Linked DNA regions of Arabidopsis thaliana. The protein of the gene in region 2 interacts with the protein of the main gene of each other region in a pairwise test. Each region holds a gene or a part of one and is shown on either strand. Other genes may lie near its edges. The genes, in order: TT2, NF-YA6 and AT5G09240.

What was found.
Region 1: the proteins of NF-YA6 (region 2) and TT2 interact in a two-hybrid assay, tested with the Arabidopsis thaliana proteins (one large-scale study listed by BioGRID).
Region 3: the proteins of NF-YA6 (region 2) and AT5G09240 interact in a two-hybrid assay, tested with the Arabidopsis thaliana proteins (one large-scale study listed by BioGRID).

What each region holds. Positions count from the first base shown.
Region 1 is NC_003076.8:13,724,828-13,728,547, reverse strand, and holds TT2 (Duplicated homeodomain-like superfamily protein), read right to left. Parts: upstream 1,806-3,720; 5' UTR 1,742-1,805; coding exon of another isoform or gene 1,678-1,741; coding exon 1,400-1,677; intron 1,327-1,399; coding exon 819-1,326; 3' UTR 587-818; downstream 1-586. UniProt on the Arabidopsis thaliana protein: Transcription activator, when associated with BHLH2/EGL3/MYC146, BHLH12/MYC1, or BHLH42/TT8. Involved in the control of flavonoid late metabolism in developing siliques.
Region 2 is NC_003074.8:4,640,266-4,645,101, reverse strand, and holds NF-YA6 (nuclear factor Y, subunit A6), read right to left. Parts: upstream 3,173-4,836; 5' UTR 2,593-3,172; exon of another isoform or gene 2,588-2,592; intron 2,446-2,587; exon of another isoform or gene 2,219-2,445; 5' UTR 2,135-2,218; coding exon 1,858-2,134; intron 1,758-1,857; coding exon 1,675-1,757; intron 1,564-1,674; coding exon 1,483-1,563; intron 1,403-1,482; coding exon 1,232-1,402; intron 1,116-1,231; coding exon 801-1,115; 3' UTR 531-800; downstream 1-530. Other genes in the region: CID4 (CTC-interacting domain 4), read right to left, coding at 4,411-4,443, 4,567-4,671, 4,784-4,836.
Region 3 is NC_003076.8:2,873,013-2,876,735, reverse strand, and holds AT5G09240 (ssDNA-binding transcriptional regulator), read left to right. Parts: upstream 1-1,886; 5' UTR 1,887-1,955; coding exon 1,956-2,087; intron 2,088-2,200; coding exon 2,201-2,312; intron 2,313-2,597; coding exon of another isoform or gene 2,598-2,670; coding exon 2,671-2,843; 3' UTR 2,844-3,076; downstream 3,077-3,723. Other genes in the region: KIWI (ssDNA-binding transcriptional regulator), read left to right, coding at 368-502, 655-760, 1,132-1,250; SRT2 (sirtuin 2), read right to left, coding at 3,123-3,173, 3,293-3,392, 3,465-3,592, 3,666-3,723.

The DNA.
Region 1 (3,720 bases), on a different chromosome or scaffold from region 2:
AAAACACAAATGAAATATAAATAATATAAATTAATAAAAAAAATTTAGTTATTATATCATAAATAACACTATACACTTTTCTATGCACATTATAATTTATACACTACAATATCTTTCACTAAAAATGTATTCTAATACATTTCTTAAAATATGAAACCCCGCACGTATGTGCGGGTCAGAATCTAGTTTCCTTTAAAATACAAACACTTTTTGATGTCCAATAAAATACATGATTTTTTAGTATCCTTAAAATACATAAACTTCTAAATTGTACCCATAAAATACAGGAGATAGGGGGAAAATCCGGAATATTCCTTTGTTTTGTTTTTCAAATATGTACTGGCACATGACTTAGAACAACCATGCATCTAGTATTTATTTATACGATGATTCCAAAAATGAGAAGAACAAATTCCTTACATTAATGACTATGCCTGCCTATAAATAGACTATACATGTATATTCTAGTAATATTTCGTAATAACAAAATTGTAAAGTTGATTCGTATTACCAATAATTCACAAGTAGAATTTATAGGTTGGGTGGTTAAGCGGTGGTTAGGTTATAATAAAAGCTCTATCATTTGCTCATACATAAATTTACAAAATCTATCAAAAATATTTATGTCGTACGTATTTGCAATAATAAAAAATTATTAGTTAAAGACAAAACCCATTTCTATAACATGTGGATCGTATAATTATTTGTATTTCTTGGTCTCCTTAGTAAGTTAGTAATTAGAAGCGTTCAGACAAATACAGATATACTTTTGTCCGTATAGAGAAATATGTATTAACGTAGGTTTTTGCAATATAGGCTCAACAAGTGAAGTCTCGGAGCCAATCTTCATCGTCGCCACGATGATGACAAGAAGTGAAAGGTCTATTGAGATCGAGATTACCTTGAGCAGGAACCAACTCTCCCAAAATCTCGTTAGATGAAACAAGAGATGTAACGTTTCCACAGTCCAAACCATCAAAATCCATCAAATCCGGGAAGTGAAACTCCGAATGGATCCTATCGAAATCGAATTCGAGATCTCCCATCAACGAAGATCCACCTTGATCCATCTCTTGTTCTTTCAGAGGTAGTGGACTAGTACTACTCTTCTTCTGAAGAGAGAGATCCGAGAAGAGAAGAGTCTTTGAGCACCTAATCGCCTTTGTACGTATAACACATACATTATTCTCGTTGTTCGTCGAATGTTTTATACGTTTTGGTTGCTTGGTTTGAGTTTTGGGAAGTCTTTTGCGGAGGTTTGAGTTCCAATGATTCTTTATTTCATTGTCTGTTCGGCCTGGAAGCCTCCCAGCTATCAACGACCATCTGCTTTAATTATAATGTCACATAACAAATAACTTTACTACAAAAAGAAAATTCTATGTGGTTAGTGAAAAACCTGTTTCCAAGAAGATTATGGAGACGGATTATGAGTTCTTCTTCATCAGATGAGATGTTACCGCGCTTTATCCCCGGTCTTAGGTAGTTCTTCCACCGAAGTCTACAGCTTTTGCCACACCTCTTGAGACCTTTTATGTGTGCCAAGACAATTATTGTACGTAGAAGATATAAAGACGGATCGGTAGATAGAGAGATTAGTACCAGCTTGGTTAGGGAGAGTGCTCCATTTGCCTTCGCCGTGAGTGGTGATGTAATCTCTAAGGATCTTGTCTTCATGATCAGTCCAAGCTCCTCTGTTTAACTCTTCTCTCCTCACACTAGTAGTTGCTCTCTTTCCCATTCTCACTTTTCTCTCTCTTGTGGTTGTGTGGTTGGTACAATTGTCTTTAGTGTTGTGTTGAGAATAGATTCTGTTTTTGTGTTTAGCTGAGTATCTTTATAGGGGAGTTGTTGATATGTCCGTACATCAGTCGCTTTCTAAAACCTCTGTCATACACACTTTGAAATTTTAATGCTTTCTTCACCTGGTAATAATTAGCTTTGGTGAGGTTAATTTTACCGAATTTTAACATCTACAAAGAGTTTTTCTAAGCCAAGTGTGAATTTAGGCCTGGGAGTTCGGCAAATCGGTTTAATCGGGTCGGGTTATTCGGTTTTAGGGAATTTCGGTTTTTGGAAATGCTTCCGAATTAAACCGAATTTAATTTCGGTTCGGTTCGGTCGGGACTCGGGTTTTTCAGGTCGGTTATCTAGATTTATTTAACTTCCGAAATAAAACTGAAAATTTTCATATTCGGTTTATTTGAACCGAATTAGACATGTATCAAATACGGGAAAAGGGTATTTTCATACCCGTACTATTTTCTGAGTGTATTTTCGTATCCAAAAAAATTTGTTGGGTATTTTCATATATTAACCGCATATTTATTTGAATTTCATACCTCAACTTAAGAAAAAGTACAAAATTCAGAGTCAAAGTAACGGGTGTTAGTCAACTCCGTGAAGATGATAAGTCAGCAGACACATGGAAAATATGTGTCTATAACGACGTCGTTTTACGTTATGAACGTTTAAAATGTTAAATTTGTTGGGTAGTTTCATATCTAAACCGCATATTTATTTTAATTTAAAAAAAAGATTGCTAGGTAAACAAAGTATAAGAGAATACATGGTCACACATACCTACTATACATTGTATATCCAGCTACACGAAGTAGACACGAAGTAGATGTATTACATGACCACATATATGAAGTATAGGACGTCATGTGGTTAACACCATTGACATACAATTCCGGTAAACCGGTCAGTTGACTCAGGCTTTGACTAGTGTTGACCGGCGTTGACCAACAAAAAAATTTAAAATTATTTTTAATACTCAAAAATACGAAAATATTTTTTTTCTTTTATATATTCAAAAACATATTCTATATTTCGTAAAAATATATTTGTATTTTCAATGCATTAAATCTTATAATAATTAGTTTTATTTTTAATTTCAAAACTAAACTAAAACTAGAATAAAAATCATTATTAAACTTTAGATTAAAGAGTCATATACTCAATTGTATTAGGAAGCAATATGAAATTGAGTATATGACTCTTTAATCTAAAGTTTGCATGGTAAAGAAAATTATAATATTTTTTATATACTCTTTAGTCTAAATTTATTTTTGTATACTATGTAGTTCCTTTTGTAACAAATATTATTAAGAAAAGTTCTCGTAGTAACACATAAACAACCAAAAACTTGCAATTTTTCTTTTTAATATATAAAAAGATAGAAAATCTAACAATGTTGATTTCAGCAAAAAAGTTTTTAAAATAAAATTCATTTGTATTACGTTTTATTCTAATAATTTTTGTGGTTGATTTTTTTTTATAAAAAATATTGTATAGAAATAATTGAAGTGTTTTAATTGACACTATAAAAATAAGCAATTTCCTTACTTAATTAACTATAATAATATTTTCCTGTTTTCATTTAAAATTTAAAATTTAATAATGATTTTTAATCTATTTTTAGTTAAATTTTGATTTTTTTTGTAAAACTAATTTTTCTAAGATTTAATGCATTGAAATATAGAATATGTTTTTGAATATACAAAACCAAAAAAAAAATATTTTGTATTTTTGAATATTTAAAATAATTTAAAAGATTTTTTTGAATTTTTTTGTTGGTCAACGCCGGTCAACCCTAGTCAACGCCGGAGTCAACTGACCGGTTTATCGGAATTGTATGTCTATGGTGTTAACCACATGACGTCCTATACTTTGTATATGTGGTCATACAATACATTTACTTCGTGTAGTTTGAAT
Region 2 (4,836 bases):
CTGGTGGACCAACAGAGAAAGGTATGTCTTCGGTGAGATCGGATAAGACAGTTATTCGAACACGAGGAGGAGGTCCTTGTGGTATTGCTTTGAGCCTCCAGCAAAGTGGGCCATTGCATGCCGTGAGACACACCAATATCAAAAATATGAAGATCCTTTTTCTCTATGGGATCTTGTGCTAAAATCTGAAGGATAGCAGAGATTTAGACAGATGTCCAAGTCCAATCAATGGTAGGTGAATGAATGTAATCGTAAAGACTTGGTGTTTGTAGAAATTGAGAAATGATAACGTGAAGACATAATATATGAGATGATTTTGTTCCAACATGATTATTTGCGTTGGTCAACTTCGTTTGAATTATGAGATGTCACACAATATTTGACTAAAGCCAAAAGTGATTACCATGTGATCGGTCTTGTTACTAATTATGGTTTATATGATTACTAGTAGATATGATTATGTTGTATAGTCTGGGACTAATATCTTATCTCTTTTGAAAATGGACTATAAAAGGCAACAAACGTGAGCTCTAAAAGCAAATAATTATACATAAATCACAAATCCATGCAGATGCACTTAATCGAAACTAATAAACTTAAATCAAGTATTAAACAATATTCAGCAACAATCACATAAAATAAAATAAACAGCCAACGGAAAAAAAAAATAGTTGAAAGATTTCTTCTTCTTTTGTAGAACGAAAGCAGATTTATAAGATAGAAACTTAATGGATCAATGATTTAAATTAGCCAAGGATGACTTCCCTTCATTATCTCATCCACCACTTGCCGGAGCTCTCTCACATGAGGACTGAGACATGGTGGTTTGATGGATAACCTGAGAACCTGAATTGTGGGTTTTGCTGGAACATGTCGTTGTTGTTCCCGGTTATGTCCGAGCAAGATGTTGTCGAGACACTAGACACAACCCCACCCCTTGAAATGTCCATTTGCCGGAACTTTCCTGGAGAGTTCTTGAAGACATGAGGTGGAATCAAGAATGGAGGAGATAGTGAGGAATTTGATTCTTGATGCTTCTTTGTGTTGAGGAAACGTCCACCAGAGCCTCTAACTCTCTTTAGTGCATGGAGGTGCCGCGACTCGTGAAGATATGGCTGCATAGTTTCATACAAAAAATTGGTCTTGAGTCAAGACTCTTGACATAATAACTGAAACTTTCTGCATATAATTCTATTTATCAGAGTGGTGCAATATAGATAAACAAACATACTTTGCGGACTTTGATGAGCTTGTTCTGAGCTTCAAGCTTTGCACGGCGCTCTCTGCGGCGGAGAATGGCTTGGTACTGTTTTGCATTGACGAAAATTGGTTCGTTCTCTGGAATGTTGTGAGGCAAAGGCATTCTAGACGGAACCAACCCTCTGATTTGAGGATGCTGCACCTGCAAAGATTTCCATAACAAATACTTTCATAAAGATACAAGAAACAGTATTATCTTGAAATGTTACAATTGTGTATTACCGTGTGTTGTGATGCATAAGGAAAAGACAAGAAACCATTGAAATGTGGCGTTACATTGCCGTGTAAAGGCCAAGAAGCCGCCTGTGAGCATATATAGACATCATTAAGATAGTATTCAGCTTTAAACTCAGTCTCATCTTGAACTACTACAAGGTTTATAATAAGGTCAAAGATGATAGTCTAATAATTAACCTCAATAGGAAGAACCACTGAATCTTGAGACACCTTTGATATCGAATGACTTCCAATAGGATTTTCCGGGTTTTCTTTGTAACCTGCACCAAAACAAGAAACCATAGATAAGCTAAAATTAAATGCAGTTGACGCAGCAATGTGAACTCTTACTCAGGCGAAAAAGGTTAAAAAGTGGTGGACCTGAGAGATGAGTGACAACAATGTTGTGGCCATAACGATTAGTAGGTTCACTTAAGCTAGCAACTTCACTATATGATTCTCCTCCAGTGGATTGAGTAGAGGAGGAATCATAGTGCTGCATTTGAAAACCAGTTTGTTTCATCTCCATTGTCAAGCTTAAAGTGTTGTTATCGGTCAAGGATGATGATCCTTGGACATTTGAGTTGGTGAAGACAGAGTTATCCCAAGAAGTTGCAGGACAAGGCAATGAATCTTTGCTACTATGGAACTCTTGCATTGTCTAAAACATTAGTTCAATAAACGAACTAATCTCCAGACCATAGTAGATCCATCAAGAGACAAGAGATGTTTATTCAGTCACCTGTAATTCCAATCAAGTAAAAAAACCAGTCATGATATATTGATATTGCATTATTCACTTGGAAGGAATCAAAAACCATTCTTGATCCACAAAGAAAAAGCAACAAACAACAGATCTAAGAGAAAGAAACCATAGAGCAGATCCAATTATTACCATACTAAAATAGAAAGTAAAGATTCAGACTTTGAGAATTAACGGATTTGATTACAAATTAGATATAAAAAAAACAGAGAAAGCACAAACATGCAATTCCACTAACTTGAGAAGGGAAAATAAAACCAACCTTGGAACAGTATTGATCCAAACAACAAGCGAGAAAACAGAACATAACTAAAAAAGAAGAAACAAAAAAAGTATTTAGATTTTTTTCTCACCTATCACCCAAAAATGGTTTTATTTTTCTTCTCAAAGCAGAGTACAAGTAGTCAAATATAGCGACCAAATTTACCAAAAAATCAGAGGGAGAGAGAATCTATGGATTTGGTGAAGATGTAGAAAAAAATCATAAAAGGATGAGATGATGCATGTCTCCTTCCTCAAAACATGGCTTCTTTCTTCTTCTTTTTTTCTCTCTTTATCAATTTCAGCATTTCACTGTCTCTGCAAAATTGAGTAGTATTATTGGCTATGGCTAAAAAGCTTCACCTAACCTTTTTTTTTTTTTCTCCCAGTAGTACCAACTTTTTTGCCACCACTAATTCACCATGAACACTACCTTTTTACCTGGACATTAATTATTATTATTCGTTGTTTACATTATGATTGTGAACCACTCTTGTCTTCTTCCTTTTTTTTTTTCTGTCCTTATTAATTACTACTAGTAACAAATAATGAGTACTCCATTTTATCAACTAGAAAAAATAGTAAACTTTAAGATTAAAACAGAAAAAGTGGGTACAACTATGTATAAAGGCTTACGGTGAGATCAGATTCTGATGAAGTGAAAATGTCCCATTAAAGAAACAAACAGAGACACACATTCTGTGTACCTTGCTTGATATCTTTGTATTCACAGCCGCCACATCGCTGTTCCGAAATCCACGCGCGCGTGATATTCACGTCCGGTGTTTGGATGATGAAACCACGTCGTCACAACATAAGGACACACTTGCCTTTTTGTTTGACCGGACTTTTGGTTTTTCTCGCATGAAATAAATCAGTAATTGCATAACGATGAGTTTTGATAGATTCTTAAAGAGCATTACAATTACAAGTAAGGTATTGTAGTTGAATATTCGTTGTTTTCTTGTCTCATTTCGGTATCCATACTGAAAAGAAAGAAACAAACTTAGCAAATTCATCGGTTTTTCTATCATAGCGGATGACCGTAAAATATGTTAGTTGGTTTCGTGAAAAGTTGTTGAAAATACATCGAAAACATGATTCGCAATTGAACTAAGTGATTATAAGGTAAATTCTAGATGAAGATTGGTGACCCAACATCATTCGTAAGTGTCAAGCTCAAGCCACGGTTAAAATCTCCACTTTAAAGCAAAAACAATAAATGTTGAGAGAGACTCGTAAAAAAGTAAAAAATAAACAACTCAATGCAGTCACCTAACCTAATAATATATGCGACTGGTAAAACTAGGTTTGATTCCATTTTATTTTTTTCTTGTGGAATCTTAAAACATGAATGTGTTGCCCACCAAATCATATACACCGAGTCATATCGATCATCATGATAATAATCGCGAGACAACTACTTATAGTAACGTTTAACGACTTATTGAAAAAAGCATGCCCTACAACAACACCAAAAATGACTAGTTCTGCCTGCTTTGAAATCGTTGTTACTCTTCTATTCTTTTCATCTAAACCGCATCCTTTTTGGATTTTAGATAACAAAATCACCCAGAAATTTAGCACAACACACACAAAAAAATATGCAGACGACGAAGTAAAAGACGCATGAGAGCAACCTACACTCTAAATTTTATATCTCTGATACAGCCAAAAAAAAGGAGAGAGTGCACTCAGTACTACAGACTTCAGATAGATCGTTTTTTTTCTTTCTTTTTTTCTTTCTTTTTGTTTTCAACACGAAATACCAAAATCAGTAGGCGAATCTAAAAAAGAGAAGAAAATGGTTTCAGTGATTGGGTAAGGGAGAGTGGATAAAACCAGAGAGGGGTTCGTACACTTCCTTCACAAAAAAAAAAAACATCATCACCATCGGGTAGTAGTAGTTATTACTCTCGTCCTTTATTATGATATGGCATGTCCTGCAAAACACACACATACAGAGATGAGATTTCAGCATCCAAAAGTTTTAACTCTTCGACTATGTAAAAGAAAAATAAAAAAAGAACAAAAAGAGGGAATCTACTATTAGCAAAAATAATAACCTGCGGGTAAGGAGGAGGATGCATGTAATAAACTGGCCTAGGATGCTGCTGACCAGGTATCATTTGCTGCTGCTGCTGACCAGGTATCATTTGCTGCTGTGGGTACTACATCACAATTCCAATTCCAATCACCATTAGACTTTTGATGTTTTTTTTTTTTTTTTGTGTATGTGTGTGGGAATAGTAATTCAATAGGGCTTGTGTGTTACTGTCAAACCTGAGGTTGTCCATTTGGATGATAATAGGCTTGAGGATGATACATCATCTGTG
Region 3 (3,723 bases), on a different chromosome or scaffold from region 2:
CCCAAGCAAAAAAGCTCCCGCGTTTTCTCAAATTCGCGTTTATAAAAAAGCGTTCCGAATCAAAACAACTGTCACAGTTCTAATTTTATCACACGCTCTGCAACAGCGCGTGGTCGGTGAACACATTAACATAAATACGCGAGAAGAGACGCGCCGATTCATTTTTCTTCAGAATCTCTCAATTCTCTTTTGTCGATTTCGCAGTAGAAGAGTCCTTTCGCCGTCTCCGAGAAACTCGTTGCAGCGTCACGACCAGGTTTCCTTCTCACTTTTACTAAATTTTGTAATTGCTCGGTTTTTTGTTTAGTGCGAGTTTACTCTGGTCTGAAGAGAACATTTTGGGTCTGCTTATTTACAGTTGGAGAAAATGTCTTCTAGAGGAAAAAGGAAAGACGAAGATGTCAGAGCATCAGATGACGAATCTGAAACCCACGCGCCGGCTAAGAAAGTCGCAAAGCCAGCAGACGATTCCGACCAGTCTGACGATATCGTCGTCTGCAACGTTAGTCTACACTTTCTGTCTATCTTTCAATTTCGTTATCTACTCTATTAGCAGTGAGCTTATGGGTTTCGGTCAAGTTTTAATTTTGTTGATGTGTTTTGCTCAAAATTAGGGTTTTAATCAAATTAGGGTTCATGTTGGTTATACATCAGATATCTAAGAATAGGAGAGTCTCTGTAAGGAATTGGAACGGGAAGATTTGGATTGACATTCGTGAGTTCTATGTCAAGGACGGAAAGACTTTGCCTGGCAAGAAAGGTAACTTTATTTTGTAATTTAAACCAATGCCCCTTGGCTCTCATAATTCATTATTTCTAGTAATGTGTTTCCTCATCTCTTAGTTTTATATTTCGTTACTGTTTTGCTTTGTTAAGTTTCTGCATTTAGTCAGGTTTATAGAATTGCATATCTTAGGGTTTTATAATAGGCAATTCTGCTTATTGAGACTGTTTATGGACTTGTAAGTATGAGCGGAGATGGTGCAGAGTGTTTGCTTTTGTACAACAACGTTTTGTTTATTTTGGTGCTATTGCTCCTTCATGTCTTTCTCTAGAGACAGCTATATTAGTTTATCTCTACATAACTAATCATGTTGACAAGATTATCTCTATGTTTGTTATACGTTGCAGGTATCTCTCTAAGCGTGGATCAGGTACTCACATCTCTTTCTATCTCTCTCCACTGTTTTATGTCTCCTAGAAGTGTTTCTGTTTTCTTGTTATTTGCTTATTACACAGCTTTTCCTTAATGCAGTGGAACACTCTTCGGAACCACGCAGAGGATATCGAGAAGGCCCTCTCTGACCTTTCTTAGGTTTTAAAACTTGTATCATTGGTTGTACGTCTATTAGAATATGGCTCAGTTGTTTTGGTTGTTTTTGTAGAACAACACCATGTTCTGCTAGTGTAAGCTGCTTCAAATTAGTTGGTGTATGGAATCTTTCACTTTTGGTTCAGACAAGCTTTGGTTGGTATTAAGAATATAATGATTGCTCTTTTATTTACTGCTGTAGTGCTGTTTTATTTGCAAATTAAGATACGTTGCAGGAATACAAGTATTCATTTGATAAGTTATAAACAAGATAGGTCTAAATGTTACATAGCTCTTGCCAAACTTCACTTGATCCGGACAAGGCCATAAGCAGACATTGTCTTTGAAGATGAACCCATCACAATAAATGTATCACTCTGTGTTGCTACTTTCATTGCTATAGTTGCTCTTTTCCAAAGAATATTTACCTTCCCAAAAAACTCCCCCGTTTTAAGTTTGGCCGCGCGTGTTCTCAAACTGTGCGCTTGTAAAATGGCGTTCCGAATCTGATATCACAGTTGTAATTCGGTGAACGCAGTAGATATATTACGCGAGAAAAGGAGAGAGGTGCTTTTTATTTAACTTGAGAATCTCAAGAGTCAATTTTTGCAGTAGAAGAGTGTTTTTTTTAGAGGTTAAGAAAATGTCTGAGAACGGAAAAAGGAAAGACGAGGATGTCAGAGCATCAGACGACCGCGACGAATCTGAGACCCACGCGCCGCCTAAGAAAGTGGCAAAGCCAGCGGACGAGATTGAGGACATCTTCATCTGCAATGTTAGTCTCTCTACTATTCATCTCTTTTTTGTCTGTAGCAGTTCGTATGAGTTTTAGGGTTTGGATCAAGTTGTGATATTTGTTTATGATGTTATGTTTTGTTTACATTCCAGTTAGATAAGAATCGGAGAGTCTTTGTGAGGAATTGCAATGGGAGGATTTGGATTGCCATTCGTCAGTTCTTTGTCAAGGACGGTATAACTTTACCTTGTAATAGCAAGCAAGGTAAATTTTTGTTTTTAACTACATATCTTCTTTTGACTGTCTCTCTTCTTCTCACAATTCCACATTTGCTAATACTCTGTATCCTCCTCTCTTTTCTTTTTTATGGTCAACAATGTATCCTCATCCCTTTGTTTTCATGTTTTGTTTCGTTAAGGTTCTGCATTTAGTTAGCAGATCTTAGGGACTTTTATTATATATCTAGTACTTCTGCGGTTTGGGACTGAGAGGAGGAGATGCGCAGAGTGTTTTCTTTTCATCAACAACGTCTTGGTTTTTGTCTCCTAGGGCCAGCTATATTAGTTTGCTTTCTTTGCATAATCATGTTGACAAGATTTTCGATGTCTCCTATATGTTGCAGGTATCTCTCTAAGCCTGGAACAGGTATTCACATCTCTCTTCCATTGTTTATGTCTTCCACACGTGCATATGTCCTGCTTATTACACGAGACCTTTTTCTTAATGCAGTGGAACGATCTTCGGAACCATGAGGAGGATATCGATAAGGCCCTCTCTGAGCTTTCTGAGGTTTAAAAGCTTGTGTAATCGGGTATTGGAAGGTGGCTTTGGTTGTTTTGGTTTGTTTTTCAGAACAACACCATGTTCTGCAAGTGTTAGCTGCTTCGAGTTAGTTCATGTGTTGAATCTATTATTTGATGTTGATTACTCTTTTATTTGATGTTGGATTTACAACTTGAGATACGTTGCAGGAATACAAGCATTCATTTTGATTAGTTATAAATAATATATATAGGTGATCTAAATGATAACATAGCTCTTGCCAAAGTTTACTTAAATGATCCGGACATTGTGCTAGAGAGCTGGGACACTGAGCGATCCCACGTCAAGAACTCTGTGCAATATCTGCAGCAAACCAATCACGAAATGACAAATTATTAAGGCTGACAATCATGAAATAATATGGATATTTAAGGCATTTTCAAGGCTGAAGGAAAGGGAAGAGCTTTATGCTATGCTCATACCTCACCAACCCTAGCATTGATTTTCAATGGAACAATGTCATCAGCTCTTGTTTCGCCTATATTTACAATTGCGGTCATAGCACCAGCCTCATGAGCCGCTCTGCAAAAGGTATATAGAAAGCTTCTTAGTAAGATGCAAACTCAAAACTGGATGATTATTCTCCTGCATCACCTGCAAAGGCGAAAAGCAGACATTGTCATTAAGGATGAACCCAACACGAGGAATGCATCGCTCTGTTTTGCAACTTCCATTGCTTGAGTAGCTCTTTCCTTCGGGATGTTGTCTCCAAAGAAAATTACCTTCAATTCAACGAGAACATAATAAGAAACAGAGCTAAACTGATTCGTCTCTATCTGATTAAGTCAATCTTACATCAGGCTTTAGGACTCCTTTGCACTTCTCACATACTGGTATATGAAAACCCTCTTCC